3 linked regions of the Callithrix jacchus genome follow. The protein of the gene in region 3 purifies or fractionates together with the protein of the main gene of each other region. This does not show direct contact. Links are inferred from orthologs where the notes say so. Each region holds a gene or a part of one and is shown on either strand. Other genes may lie near its edges.

Evidence for each region. The genes of interacting proteins can lie anywhere in the genome.
Region 1: the proteins of FOXJ1 (region 3) and cyclin-dependent kinase 20 purify together in Homo sapiens (affinity purification with mass spectrometry; 3 studies listed by BioGRID and IntAct, counting the BioPlex papers as one, with this or other methods). This does not show direct contact. The link is inferred for Callithrix jacchus from reciprocal best matches to the Homo sapiens genes FOXJ1 and CDK20.
Region 2: the proteins of FOXJ1 (region 3) and FBXO11 purify together in Homo sapiens (affinity purification with mass spectrometry; 3 studies listed by BioGRID and IntAct, counting the BioPlex papers as one, with this or other methods). This does not show direct contact. The link is inferred for Callithrix jacchus from reciprocal best matches to the Homo sapiens genes FOXJ1 and FBXO11.

The regions. Positions count from the first base shown.
Region 1 is NC_133502.1:77,540,645-77,544,144, reverse strand, and holds part of cyclin-dependent kinase 20, read right to left. Parts: intron 3,425-3,500; coding exon of another isoform or gene 3,367-3,424; intron 3,113-3,366; coding exon 2,957-3,112; intron 1,581-2,956; coding exon of another isoform or gene 1,557-1,580; exon of another isoform or gene 1,419-1,556; coding exon 1,221-1,418; 3' UTR 1-1,220. UniProt on the Homo sapiens protein: Required for high-level Shh responses in the developing neural tube.
Region 2 is NC_133515.1:66,903,102-66,906,601, reverse strand, and holds part of FBXO11 (F-box only protein 11), read right to left. Parts: intron 3,145-3,500; coding exon 3,050-3,144; intron 1,818-3,049; coding exon 1,695-1,817; intron 1,598-1,694; coding exon 1,512-1,597; intron 1-1,511. UniProt on the Homo sapiens protein: Substrate recognition component of a SCF (SKP1-CUL1-F-box protein) E3 ubiquitin-protein ligase complex which mediates the ubiquitination and subsequent proteasomal degradation of target proteins, such as DTL/CDT2, BCL6, SNAI1 and PRDM1/BLIMP1.
Region 3 is NC_133506.1:132,041,731-132,045,978, reverse strand, and holds the start of FOXJ1 (forkhead box protein J1), read left to right. Parts: upstream 1-1,448; 5' UTR 1,449-1,585; intron 1,586-2,009; exon of another isoform or gene 2,010-2,127; 5' UTR 2,128-2,296; coding exon 2,297-2,794; intron 2,795-4,248. UniProt on the Homo sapiens protein: Transcription factor specifically required for the formation of motile cilia. Acts by activating transcription of genes that mediate assembly of motile cilia, such as CFAP157.

The DNA.
Region 1 (3,500 bases), on a different chromosome or scaffold from region 3:
TATAAACAGCTGCTTCTGGCTCACACTCATCCTGAGGGAGTAGATATGTTGGTAAACCAGCCTCAGTGCGGAGGGTCTCCTGCTGGATCCCCAACTGGAGCCATCCCTGGGCCTAGACTTCCATCTCCCTCACTTCCAAATTAGTAATCAGTCATATGAAGCACACGAGAGGCCCTCAGGGCAAAAGTGCTGTGCCTGGTGCCACCTTCCCCAGGACCCACCCAAAAATGAGGGCCATCAGACAATGTCACTTTATTTCCCTTGAGAGAAATAGAGGAGGAACAGACAGAGACACCAGAGGTTTTTAGAATCTATAACCTCACATACTGAACTAGTGTTTAATGTCTCTGAGAATAAAACCAAATCTTCCTTCCACTTGAGTTTCCAACATGAGGACGCCTTACTCTCTGCACTTCTCCTTGACCAGGAGGCAACACCTGGGGAAGCAGCACGAAGGCAGGCATTGCCATTCTGCACAGGCAGGCCTTGACTGGCAGCAGAGCTCACTGTTCTGATGGGTAATCACCAAGGCAGGCATCGCCATTCTGCATAGGCAGGCCTTAGCTGGCAGCAGAGCTCACTGTTGTGATGGGTAATCACCAAGGCAGACATCGCCATTCTGCATAGGCAGGCCTTAGCTGGCAGCAGAGCTCACTGTTGTGATGGGTAATCACCAAGGCAGACATCGCCATTCTGCATAGGCAGGCCTTAGCTGGCAGCAGAGCTCACTGTTCTCATGGGTAATCACCAAGGCAGACATCGCCATTCTGCATAGGCAGGCCTTAGCTGGCAGCAGAGCTCACTGTTCTCATGGGTAATCACCAAGGCAGACATCGCCATTCTGCATAGGCAGGCCTTAGCTGGCAGCAGAGCTCACTGTTGTGATGGGTAATCACCAAGGCAGACATCGCCATTCTGCATAGGCAGGCCCTGAATGGCAGCAGAGCTCACTGTTCTGATGGGTAAGTCAGCAGCACACAGACTCACCAAGCACAGGACGTGAATCTCCTCTGCTGGACTGGATGCTGTCATGCTCTTGGCTAGGAACATAACCTCTGCCTCAAGACCAACCCTCACAAGGGTCAAGGGGCAGGGTGTGGTGTGGAGTGGGCCCAGTGTGGCCATGGGGAGGCCTTGGAGGGTGGAGCCAGGCAGGTGGCAGAGGAACAAGTGGACTGGGTGGTCCTTAGGCACAGGCAGACAGGACCAGGGCCAGCTTCTCACCCCTCCGGGATGAAGGGCCAAATCAGCTCCGGGTTCAACAGCGACTCCTCAAGAGGCCGGTCCACGTGGAAGTCATGAACGTGGTGGGGGCCTGGATGGGCCTTGGGGGCAGGTCCCCCTGGACGCTGAGGAATCGGTAGCTCAGATGGATGGGCAGGCAGAGGAGCTGTGAAGAAGTACTGATGGAGGAGAGCCTGGGGGTGGCAAGTAAGGAACAGCAGAAGGAAACCAGTCACTTCCCTGCCCTCAGCCTCAGGCAGATGTTCCTTCATCTATGCATTCAGTGGACTCAGTGCCTGGGTATTTTCTGAGTGTCTACTATGTCTGAAACACTATTCCAGAAGCTGGGGACATAGCTGTTAATAAAACAGACAAAAGCTCTGTCTTTCTGACATAGGTGGGGGTGGGGAGTAATAAACAAGATGAAGTAAAATACACCGTATGTCAGATAATGATTAGTGCAGTGGGAAAGAGACAGCAAGAGAGAGGAATGAGGAATCCTGGAGAGAGGTTACAGATATGAAGCGTCACGAGGGAAGGCCATCTGAGAGGTGACATTTTAGCCAAGACTTGAGACATGAGCAAGTGGGACATGAGGTTCCAGGGCAGAGACAAAAGTGTACAGACCCCAGGGGATGCCCTGGTGTGTGGAGGAGGCCCTGGGGCTGGAAAGCAGTGGGCACACGGCACAACAGCTGGCAGCGTCATGAGGTGATGGCACCCAAACATGTGACACCTGTGGGCCACAGAGAGGACCCTGGCTTTTCCTCTGACATGGAGCCATAGGAGGGCCTGGCAGAGCAGGAATGTGTCCTGCTCTATTTGGATAAAGTTACTCTCTCTGCCAGGTGGAGAAGAGATTACATGGGATGAGGGGAGACCCAGATTCTGGGAGGCAATCAGGAGGTAAGGGTCAGATGGCTGGGGTGCACTGTGGATGCAGAGCCCACAGGAGCTGCGAGACGAAGAGAGCGTATATAAACACCTGCTGCTGGTGCTGCGTGCAGAGGGGACAGGGACCCCTGAGAGACACACCCTGACACCTGTCAGCCCATGATCCTGTGGTCCTCATCGTCCTCCCAGGCCTTCCAGCCATAACCAGCCTTCCTTGGTCCTCGCCTCCAGGCCACTGCCCACCATTTCTCTCTTCAGCAAACACCTCCTCAAACATCTCCTGCTTAAACCTGCCCTCCACCAGAAAGCTTTGCTTGACCCCAAAGTCGGCCTCGCCTCTCTTCTGGGTCTCCCACACTGGGACAGCACAATCTCTTGTGACCTTTTGGGCCTGGAGCTACCTTACCACTAGGAGTGCCCCATGGAGGCAGGTCTGATTGTTCACCATCCGTGTGGGGCCCAGAACAACCCCTGCCACGTGAGGGTGTGCAGAAAATACTTGCCAAAGGAATGAAGGAACGAGTCCCCAGTGCTCCCCCTATAGGATCAGAGGCAGCCCAGAAGTCAGCACCCTCGGACATGTGCTCTCCTGTGAGGTGGGCATGCCCCTCTTGGAGGCCACCCTCAGGAGAACTCTAGGGATGTCCAGTGCCTCAGAAGAGGCACACCTGCTCCAAGGTCCCTGTCCCCTGGGTTCCAAATGCCTGGTGCTGGTCCCTGCCCATCACACGTTCTGAGAGCCGCTGACTTGATGGGGGTCACGTGGCAACCAAGTACAGAGTACCAGGGTGATGGGGAGGGGAGCTGAAGGAGCAGAGACCCCAGCTTCTCACCTTACCTTGGAGGCTGCGATGCGCCGGAGAGGAGGGTAGAGAAGGAACTGACTCAGCAAGTCCAATGCCTGGGGAGAGGCGTCCGGCAGCACTTCCTCCAGGGGCACGGGTGCCTGTTCCTTAAAGGAGATCTTGTTGTAGTCTGGCAGCTCGGCAAGCTCCTGGGCCAGGGAGAAGGAACAGGGTCCATGAGAGTAGTCCCCAACCCTCACCACACCCTCTGCTGTCAGCTCTCAGCCCCTAACACCCTCATGTGGGGGGTGCTCTCCCACCATGTGTCTCCTTGACCCATTCAACCACCCCTACATTCCTTCATCCATCCCCTTGCCCTCTCAGATGGCAGATCTGTGCCCAGCTTGCTGAGACACTGCACATGTGTATACTGGGGTGAAAGGGGACAAAAAGCAAGACCTACCCCCAAACCTTCATGACAGCAGGAAGGAGGAACCCGAGTTGGGGCAGGACAGTGGTTCCTGTCCATCAAGGGGGGCGTTGAGGCCAGGAGAGAGAAGGTTCAGGGGAGGGAGTGGTCACTTGCTGTCGGGGAGT
Region 2 (3,500 bases), on a different chromosome or scaffold from region 3:
AGTTTCTCCATGTTGGTCAGGCTAGTCTCGAACTCCCAACCTCAGGTGATTCACCCACCTCGGCCTCCCAAAGTGCTGGGATTACAGGCATGAGTCACCATGCCTGGCCTTGTTATTTTTTTAAATTTTGCTTTGAACCCTGAGAAACTAAGTAATAAGATTGATTTGCTTTGCTTTCTTTTCATTTGTGTGTTTACTGGAAAAGCATTTTTGATTTGTTTCTGGAACTTTTCCTTTGCATTCACAACTTAGCCAACTGGACAAGAGGCCTAGCTTTTGGTCTATTTAGGCTTTTGACATACTTTCCTCACTAACCTTAATCATTTCTACCTTTTGATTTAAAGTGAGAGATATGCAACTCTTCTTTTTACTTCAACACTTAGAGGTCATTTTAGGATTACTAATTGGCCTAATTTAGATACTATTGTGTCTCAGGGAAAAGGGAAGCCTGAGGAGAGGGGGAGAGATGGGAATGACTGCTTGGTGAACAGTCATACACGACATTTACACATTAAGTTTGCTATCTTGGGTGCAGTTAATGGTGTCCCAGAACAATTACAATAGTAACATCAAAGATCACTGATCAGAGATCATCATAACAGATAAAAGGATAAGGAAAAACTCTGAAATACTCTAATAATTATAAAAATGAGACATAGAGACAGGCAGTGAGCACATGCTGCTGAAAAAATGGCACTGAGAGATCTGCTCAACACAGGGTTACCACAAACCTTCAATTTGTAATAAACAGAGGTAAGCCAGTATATGATCATTAGGACTGACAGAGTTCCAAAAACTTGTAAGAGGGGTATCAAAGGCTGGACGCAGTGGCTTACGCCTGTAAACCCCAGAACTCTGGGAGGCTGAGGTGGGCAGATCATGAGGTCAGGAGTTCGAGACCAGCCTGGCCAACATGATGAAATCCCATCTCTACTAAAAATACAAAAATTAGCCGTATGTGGTGGCATGCACCTATAATCCCAGCTACTTAGAGGGTTGAGGCAGGAGAATTGCTTGAACCTGGGAGGCGGAGATTGCAGTGAGCCAAGATCATGCCTTGGGTGATCTGTCACCAGCCTGGGTGACAGAGCAAGACTCTGTCTCAAAAACAAAAAACAAAGGCGGGGGGAGGAGGGGAGAGATAAACAACTATTAATTTTATGGAAATAGCACAGAACAGAATCATTTTACTGAGTGCCAATCATATGCCAGGCATAGTGCACAAGTATTTTAATACAGACTTCCACTCTCCACGTATGAAGGAACATATTGGCAACTGAAGTGACTTCCACTTTTCATAGTGGAAAGTCACATCTCAAAGTGATGTGACTCTTTACCTAGACCAAGGAAAGTTACATTCTGACAATTCAAGTCAAGATTATTTTAAGAATGTGAATATATATACAACAGAGGGATAAAGATTGGGCATTAGACAATAAGCAAATCTGTTCTACACACCCCACATACTCCTAACTCCCTCCCAAAACAAAGCCAAATGTAAAAACATTTACCTTATCTGAACCCCTGAATACATATGATTATAGATATCATTGTCTTCTAGCACTCCATGTCCATTGTCATAGAAATAAACACCAACCTAAAATTAAAAAAAAAAAAACAAAAAAAACCTTTTTCAAGTGACAAGTATTTACAAAACAATGTATTTCCCACCCAAGAGTCCAAGCTAATCCTACCTGCTTGCCACTGTGTATCCGGTTTCTTCTCAGTACTGGAGTGCTGCCAGTTGTCACCCAGACTCCAGCCAGAGTATTACTATAAACTTCATTCTCTTCTATTACTCCTTGTCCCTTTTCATGCTAAATAAAAGTTACACTGGTTATATCTTCTATAATCAAGGCATTTATAGTCTGTTACTCCCTTTATAGACAGTTATGAAAAAACTTTCCATTTTTGTTTTTTCATCTGAGTAATGAGGTAATGGCAACATTATTTTTTTTCTTGAGATGGAGTCTCGCTCTATTGCCCAGGCTGGAGTGCAGTGGTACAATCTTGGCTCACTGTAACCTCCACCTCCACCTCCCAGGTACAAGCAATTCTCTGCCTCAGCCTCCCGGGTAGCTGGGATTACAGGCGCCTGCCACCACGCCCGGCTAAATTTTATATTTTTAGTAGAGACAGGGTTTCACCATGCTGGCCAGGCTGGTCTGGAACTCCTGACCTGTGATCCTCCTGTCCAGGCCTCCCAAAGTGCTGGGATTACAGGCGTGAGCCACCGTGCCTGGCCCAATATTCTTTTTATGTAGCCTCTACCCTCGTTTTAAGCTTCCAAAAATTTATAATGTTAAGTGGTTTTATACTTTTAATATCACATAGGAGTAGTAGTAGCATTCAATTTTCTTTAGCAAAAGAATTAATTCACTCTAGGATGACAACGTCTCATTTAGTAGTAAACTTATTACTGGTTAAATCAATTCAAAATGACATGGTTTCATGTTCACAAAATTTTTACTTTTAGCAGGTAATTGAGGACATGTGCATCTCTAGAACCATAAATGAAAATTAAAAGTCACACCTTGCATAACATAAAGACCTTTTTGAAATTTCCTACATTTTCTTACTTAAATCAGTCACAAAATTTTAGATAGCATGAGCGAAGATGATTAATACAAAGGTTTAAAAATTTTGAAAGACAATTATATTTTAACATAAATTGAAATGAAAAAGTGGCAGAACTTCAGAGACTCATACCCTAGTCATACTGGTAAAATTCTAGTGTAACAAATATAACAGACTGCAAATGAATTGCTGTTGCATTTAGCCCATAATGCCAGTAATAAAGACTTTAATAAACAGTTGTATCTCTTATGCCTAAATTTAGTCAGCTGCTGATTAAATTTTATAGAATTCAACACAGACTATAAGATACTGACAGGGAGAACAAGAATGCTATTTATTGTCTAACTATTAAAGGCAGTCATAAATTCACACTACAGAAGTTGAATATGGCCTACCTAAAAGCTTAAGGAGAAACTCTTTCTCCCCCCTGGTTTTGATGCACGAGTTTATATAACTATATACATTAACTTACCACATAAATCCCACCATGCTGGCCATCATGAATTTTGTTATGCCGAACAATTGGACAACTGTTTGTCCTAATTTGAATTCCTGCTAATGCATTGCCTATTTAAAAATAAAAGTTACAATGTCAACATTTGTAAGCCTAGGGAATACAGTAAGGGTTTTACATTAGATAGTGGTTAAAATTCTTACACTAGAATTTTAGTGACCATTACAAGACAAAATTAAGGGAACTAGAAGTGTAAATAGATGCGGAAGGCTGCAGGCAGTATAGCAGAGTGGATAATCTCAAGCTAAGCTGCCACATTTCGAATCCCAGGAATTCTCCCTCCTGTGTGACCCTGAGTAAGTAATTTAACCTCTTGTGTCTGTATACTGATCAGTAAGTATCTTTGTGCCTCTGTATCCTGATCAATATTTAATGGTATCTACCTCACAGTGTTGATGTTAATGTTATA
Region 3 (4,248 bases):
ACACTCATGCGTCTCACCTGGGGAGTTAGGATCCTGCCCACCTGGGGTTGGCACGCTGGTTGCTCACTTTGCTTTGGTCTGAACACCTGGTGTGCGCATGTGTATACTGCTTGAGCCATCTGTGTACCCCTCTCCCTGGGGTACACTTGTGGGCACACTACAGTGGGGACAGCAAGAATGCAATATATTATGGATTGCTGCATGATTCTTAAAAATGAATAAAACTGTTTACAAGGGAAGGAGAGCTAACTAACTACAAAGTGAGTTTATCTGTGAAAGTTTCTCTTTCTTCAGTATTCTAATATTTTTATTCAAGAGGATCTGGAGTTGGAGGAGTGGGAGAGGCAAGGGCTAGGAAAAGGCATGTTGGTGGGGGAGAGATGCACCATTGCCGGGACTTCTTCATGGCCTGGGCATCAGCCTTCCTGGCTCCAGCTCCTGGGCAGAGGCTGGGTAAGCAACCCAGCCCCCACCACTGCCTCTGCAGCCGCCTTAAACCGGAGAACTTCCAACCCTGCAGCTCCTCAATAATTAAAGAGCAGGAAAGCTGGTGACAGGAGGGAGGCCAGGGGAAGGGAGGAAGAAGGGCCACAGTCCCCAGAGTCCCTCTACCCTTAATCCCTGTCACTTAAAAGTTGGTGAAATTAATTGACTAAAAGGCACCGCTAGAAGAATTTGACAAGTCCATGACTTCAGAGTTTTACCCACGGGCTCTGCCTCATCCGCTGTCTCCAAAAGAGTGAGTGTGCTTCTGCAGAAGTCTCTAGAATATCAGCTTCCTGGAACCTTGAGGATAGGGGTGGGGAATGGGCTGCTTACCGGGACACACTGGATTACCCTACCGCCTGGTGTTTGCCGCCTCTGTGGATGTAAGCAGCAGGTGGCATCGGAGAGTCAGACCTGCCTGGGGCACCAGAGAGAGATACTAAGGGTCGGGGGAGAGGGAAACGCCGCAGAAATATGAGAAAGTGCCACTCGCAGCGGAGAGGAAAGAAAACCTCAAGGATACGGTTCCCGAGCCTAAGCCCGCTCCCAGCCTTAGCCCCTCAACCCGAGGCTCTGTCCCAGGAGCAGTCGATGCCTCAGAGAGACCCGGACTGGAAGGGGGTGGGGGCGGGAGTCGTGGTTCCCCAGGACGAACGGATCCGTAGCGGTTCCGGGGGCCGCGGGCCGCGCGCTTCTCCGACCCCAGCGCGGGGCCCTCTGGCGGGAAAGAACCGAGCCCGGACGCGGCGGCGGGTAGGGGGTTGGGTGGCGCGGGAGAGGGCGGCAGAAGGAGGGAGTTCGAAGAGCGTTGCCGCCAGAGAGCGTGGCAAGTGCCCGCGGTCTCCTTGGAGACTTGCTGGCCAATAGCAGTGGCGGAAGCTGTTTATGGGGGCGGAGCGTCGCCATGGCTGCAGGAGAAGCCTTTGGAGCGGCTACTTATTGCCGGTCCCAGGGCCGCGGTCGCTCAGAGAAGCGCCGTCGGGCGGGGGGGCAGCGAGAGGCGCTGGCAGGGCCCTCGAGCGGAGGGGCAGAGAGCCGCAGGGGGTGGGAGGAACTTCTTCCAGAACCTTCCTCTGGCCCGGGCTGCGCTCTGAGCCAGGTAAGGGACGAGGAGGGCTACAGGCCCTGGGGAAGGGTGGGCGACGGTACCAGTCCGCTCTCTCGTTCGTCCTTGACGGAAGTGGTGGGCCCAGGGACTGACAACGGAGGAGTTTGTGGGAAACTCGCCTCCTGCCCCTCATAACTGTTCCGTCCCCTTCCTTCCCGACGACCCCCTATCATAATATTCCTTTTCAAGGATCAGAGGACCTCCTCCGCTCCCGCCCCGTCGTACTGCCCTCCCAGACTTGTCGCCCCATTTCCATTTGTTGCGGGGAGGAAGGGGGTCCTGATTTCCTGCTCTTCGGGAGAAAAGGATAGCCTCGGATGCCCCTACCCTCTTACTTTATTTGCCTAATAAAACCTCGAAGAGGAAAGGAGGAGGGAGGCGGTTCTGGTGGGGGGGGGGGACCCCAGGGCCTTACTTCTGTTTCCCAGACCTCGGTACTAAAAGATCCTCCCCAGCTGCGGGGATGATGTTAGGGGAGGCGCCCCCTGTACGGGGCGTGGGGTGGTGCTCAGCTCCCGCCGTGGTCCTCGCAGGCACCACAAGCATATTCGGAGGAGGCGCCCCAGGGGTCGCGAGATGGAAGCGCGCGTCCGAGAGGCCGAGTAACCGAAGCTGCGGGAGTCAGCGGGCGGGAGAGCGCGGCGGGCCACCCCCGACTCAGGCCGTGGATGCTGACCGCCCCCTCGGAGAGTCCCCGCAGACATGGCGGAGAGCTGGCTGCGCCTCTCCGGAGCCGGGCCGGCGGAGGAGGCCGGGCCGGAGGGCGGCCTGGAGGAGCCCGACGCCCTGGATGACAGCCTGACCAGCCTTCAGTGGCTGCAGGAATTCTCCATTCTCAACGCCAAGGCCCCCGCCCTGCCCCCGGGGGGCACCGACCCCCACGGCTACCACCAGGTGCCAGGCTCAGCAGCACCCGGGTCCCCCCTGGCGGCCGACCCCGCCTGCCTGGGGCAGCCGCACACGCCGGGCAAGCCCACTTCGTCGTGCACATCGCGGAGCACGCCCCCGGGGCTGCAGGCCCCGCCCCCCGACGATGTGGACTACGCCACCAACCCGCATGTGAAGCCTCCCTACTCGTACGCCACGCTCATCTGCATGGCCATGCAGGCCAGCAAGGCCACCAAGATCACCCTGTCGGCCATCTACAAGTGGATCACGGACAACTTCTGCTACTTCCGCCATGCAGATCCCACCTGGCAGGTAGAGGAGGCGCGGGCGGCGGCCGCTCCCTCCCCATTCCCTCCTGGCTCCCCACGGGGCATTGGATTCACATCCCAGATCTGCAGGCCAAGTAGGCTCCGTGCGGCCAGGGCCCCAGAAGGGAGGACTGCAAAGGGGCCCAGTTCTTGCAGCTGCCCCTCCTTTGACTTCCAGAGAGGGAGAAGGGAGAGTGTCCAGAGGTAGAGGGCTTTAGGGGTGCAGAGGCTGAGATTCAAGGGGAAGGAACCTGCCATTCATCCAGCAGGCCCAGGCCAAAGACCAGGGCTAGACCGCGTGGATAGAGTCTCCTTGGGGAGAGCAGTGAACTGAAGGCACATTCTTGTCCCAAGTCCTAGAATTCCTAGCCACTGCCCTGCCCGGGAAGGTTTGTCAGGCTGGGAGTCAGAAACGGAAACTGGAACATGGCCTCCCTGCCAGGCTCTATGTCCTGCCCTTTTGCAGTTGGCTTGGGGAGTGTGGGATGGAAGGAGTGCTGTGGCATGTGAGGGCCAGCTTTGTCCCAGTGGAGGGTGGAGGGCTACCCCCTCCTAAAGGGGGACCTTCCTAAAGCTGCTGTCCCAGCCCCCTACTTCAACCTCTGCTTAGTTTTCTCCCTCCAACCCCCGCTCTCAGCCAACCTCCCTGGGGAGACAATTACCTGAGCCAGGTACCTTCCACAGGGGCTCTGCCTGCCACACGGCTGCATGTTCCAAGTCTCTGGAACCTGGCACAGAGCAGCCAAGGGGCCCCAGCCACCATGTAAACATCCCAGCCTTGCTGGGGGCACTATCACCCACCTGCCCTGCTGTCCCAGCCCAGGACCCTGGGCCCCAGCAGGCTTTGGACAAGATGAAACACATAAGAATGGACAAGGCAGGAGGATGGTGGATTTGAGGCTGGGTGGACATTGCTCCGTCTTCAGCCATCACCATCAAGGGCTAGTTGGTAACAGAGGCCCCCCAAGGATGCCCAGACTCTTCCCTGAAGCACCCAAAGTGGGCAGGCCACAGGACCACAGTCCCAAGCCATTTCAAATGCCCCCTGACCCTAGAGCAGTGTCATTTTAGCCACAGCAAAAAGCAGGGACCCTCAGCCCCACCCTACCCTAAGCCTGTTCAGCTTTGGCTTCAGGAAACCAGCCCCAGGAATGAGTGCTATGCTCCTGGCTCTTGGCTGGGTAATAATCAACTGAGCCTAGAGTAGGGGGAGGGGGCCTTGGGGGGTGAAGGCCCAGGCCAGCAGCCAGCTCAACAAATAGGGAAAGTCATCAGATCCTACACCCCTCATCCCTGCATACGCTCGCTGGCTCTCTCTCTCTCTCTCTCTCTCTCTCTCTCTCTCTCCTCTCTCTCTCTCTCTCTCTCTCTTTCTCTCTCTCTCTCTCTCTCTCTCTCTCTCTCTCCCCGCCCCCCCCCCCCCCCCCCCCCGCCACCATCCTTGGCTGCCCAGCCCCC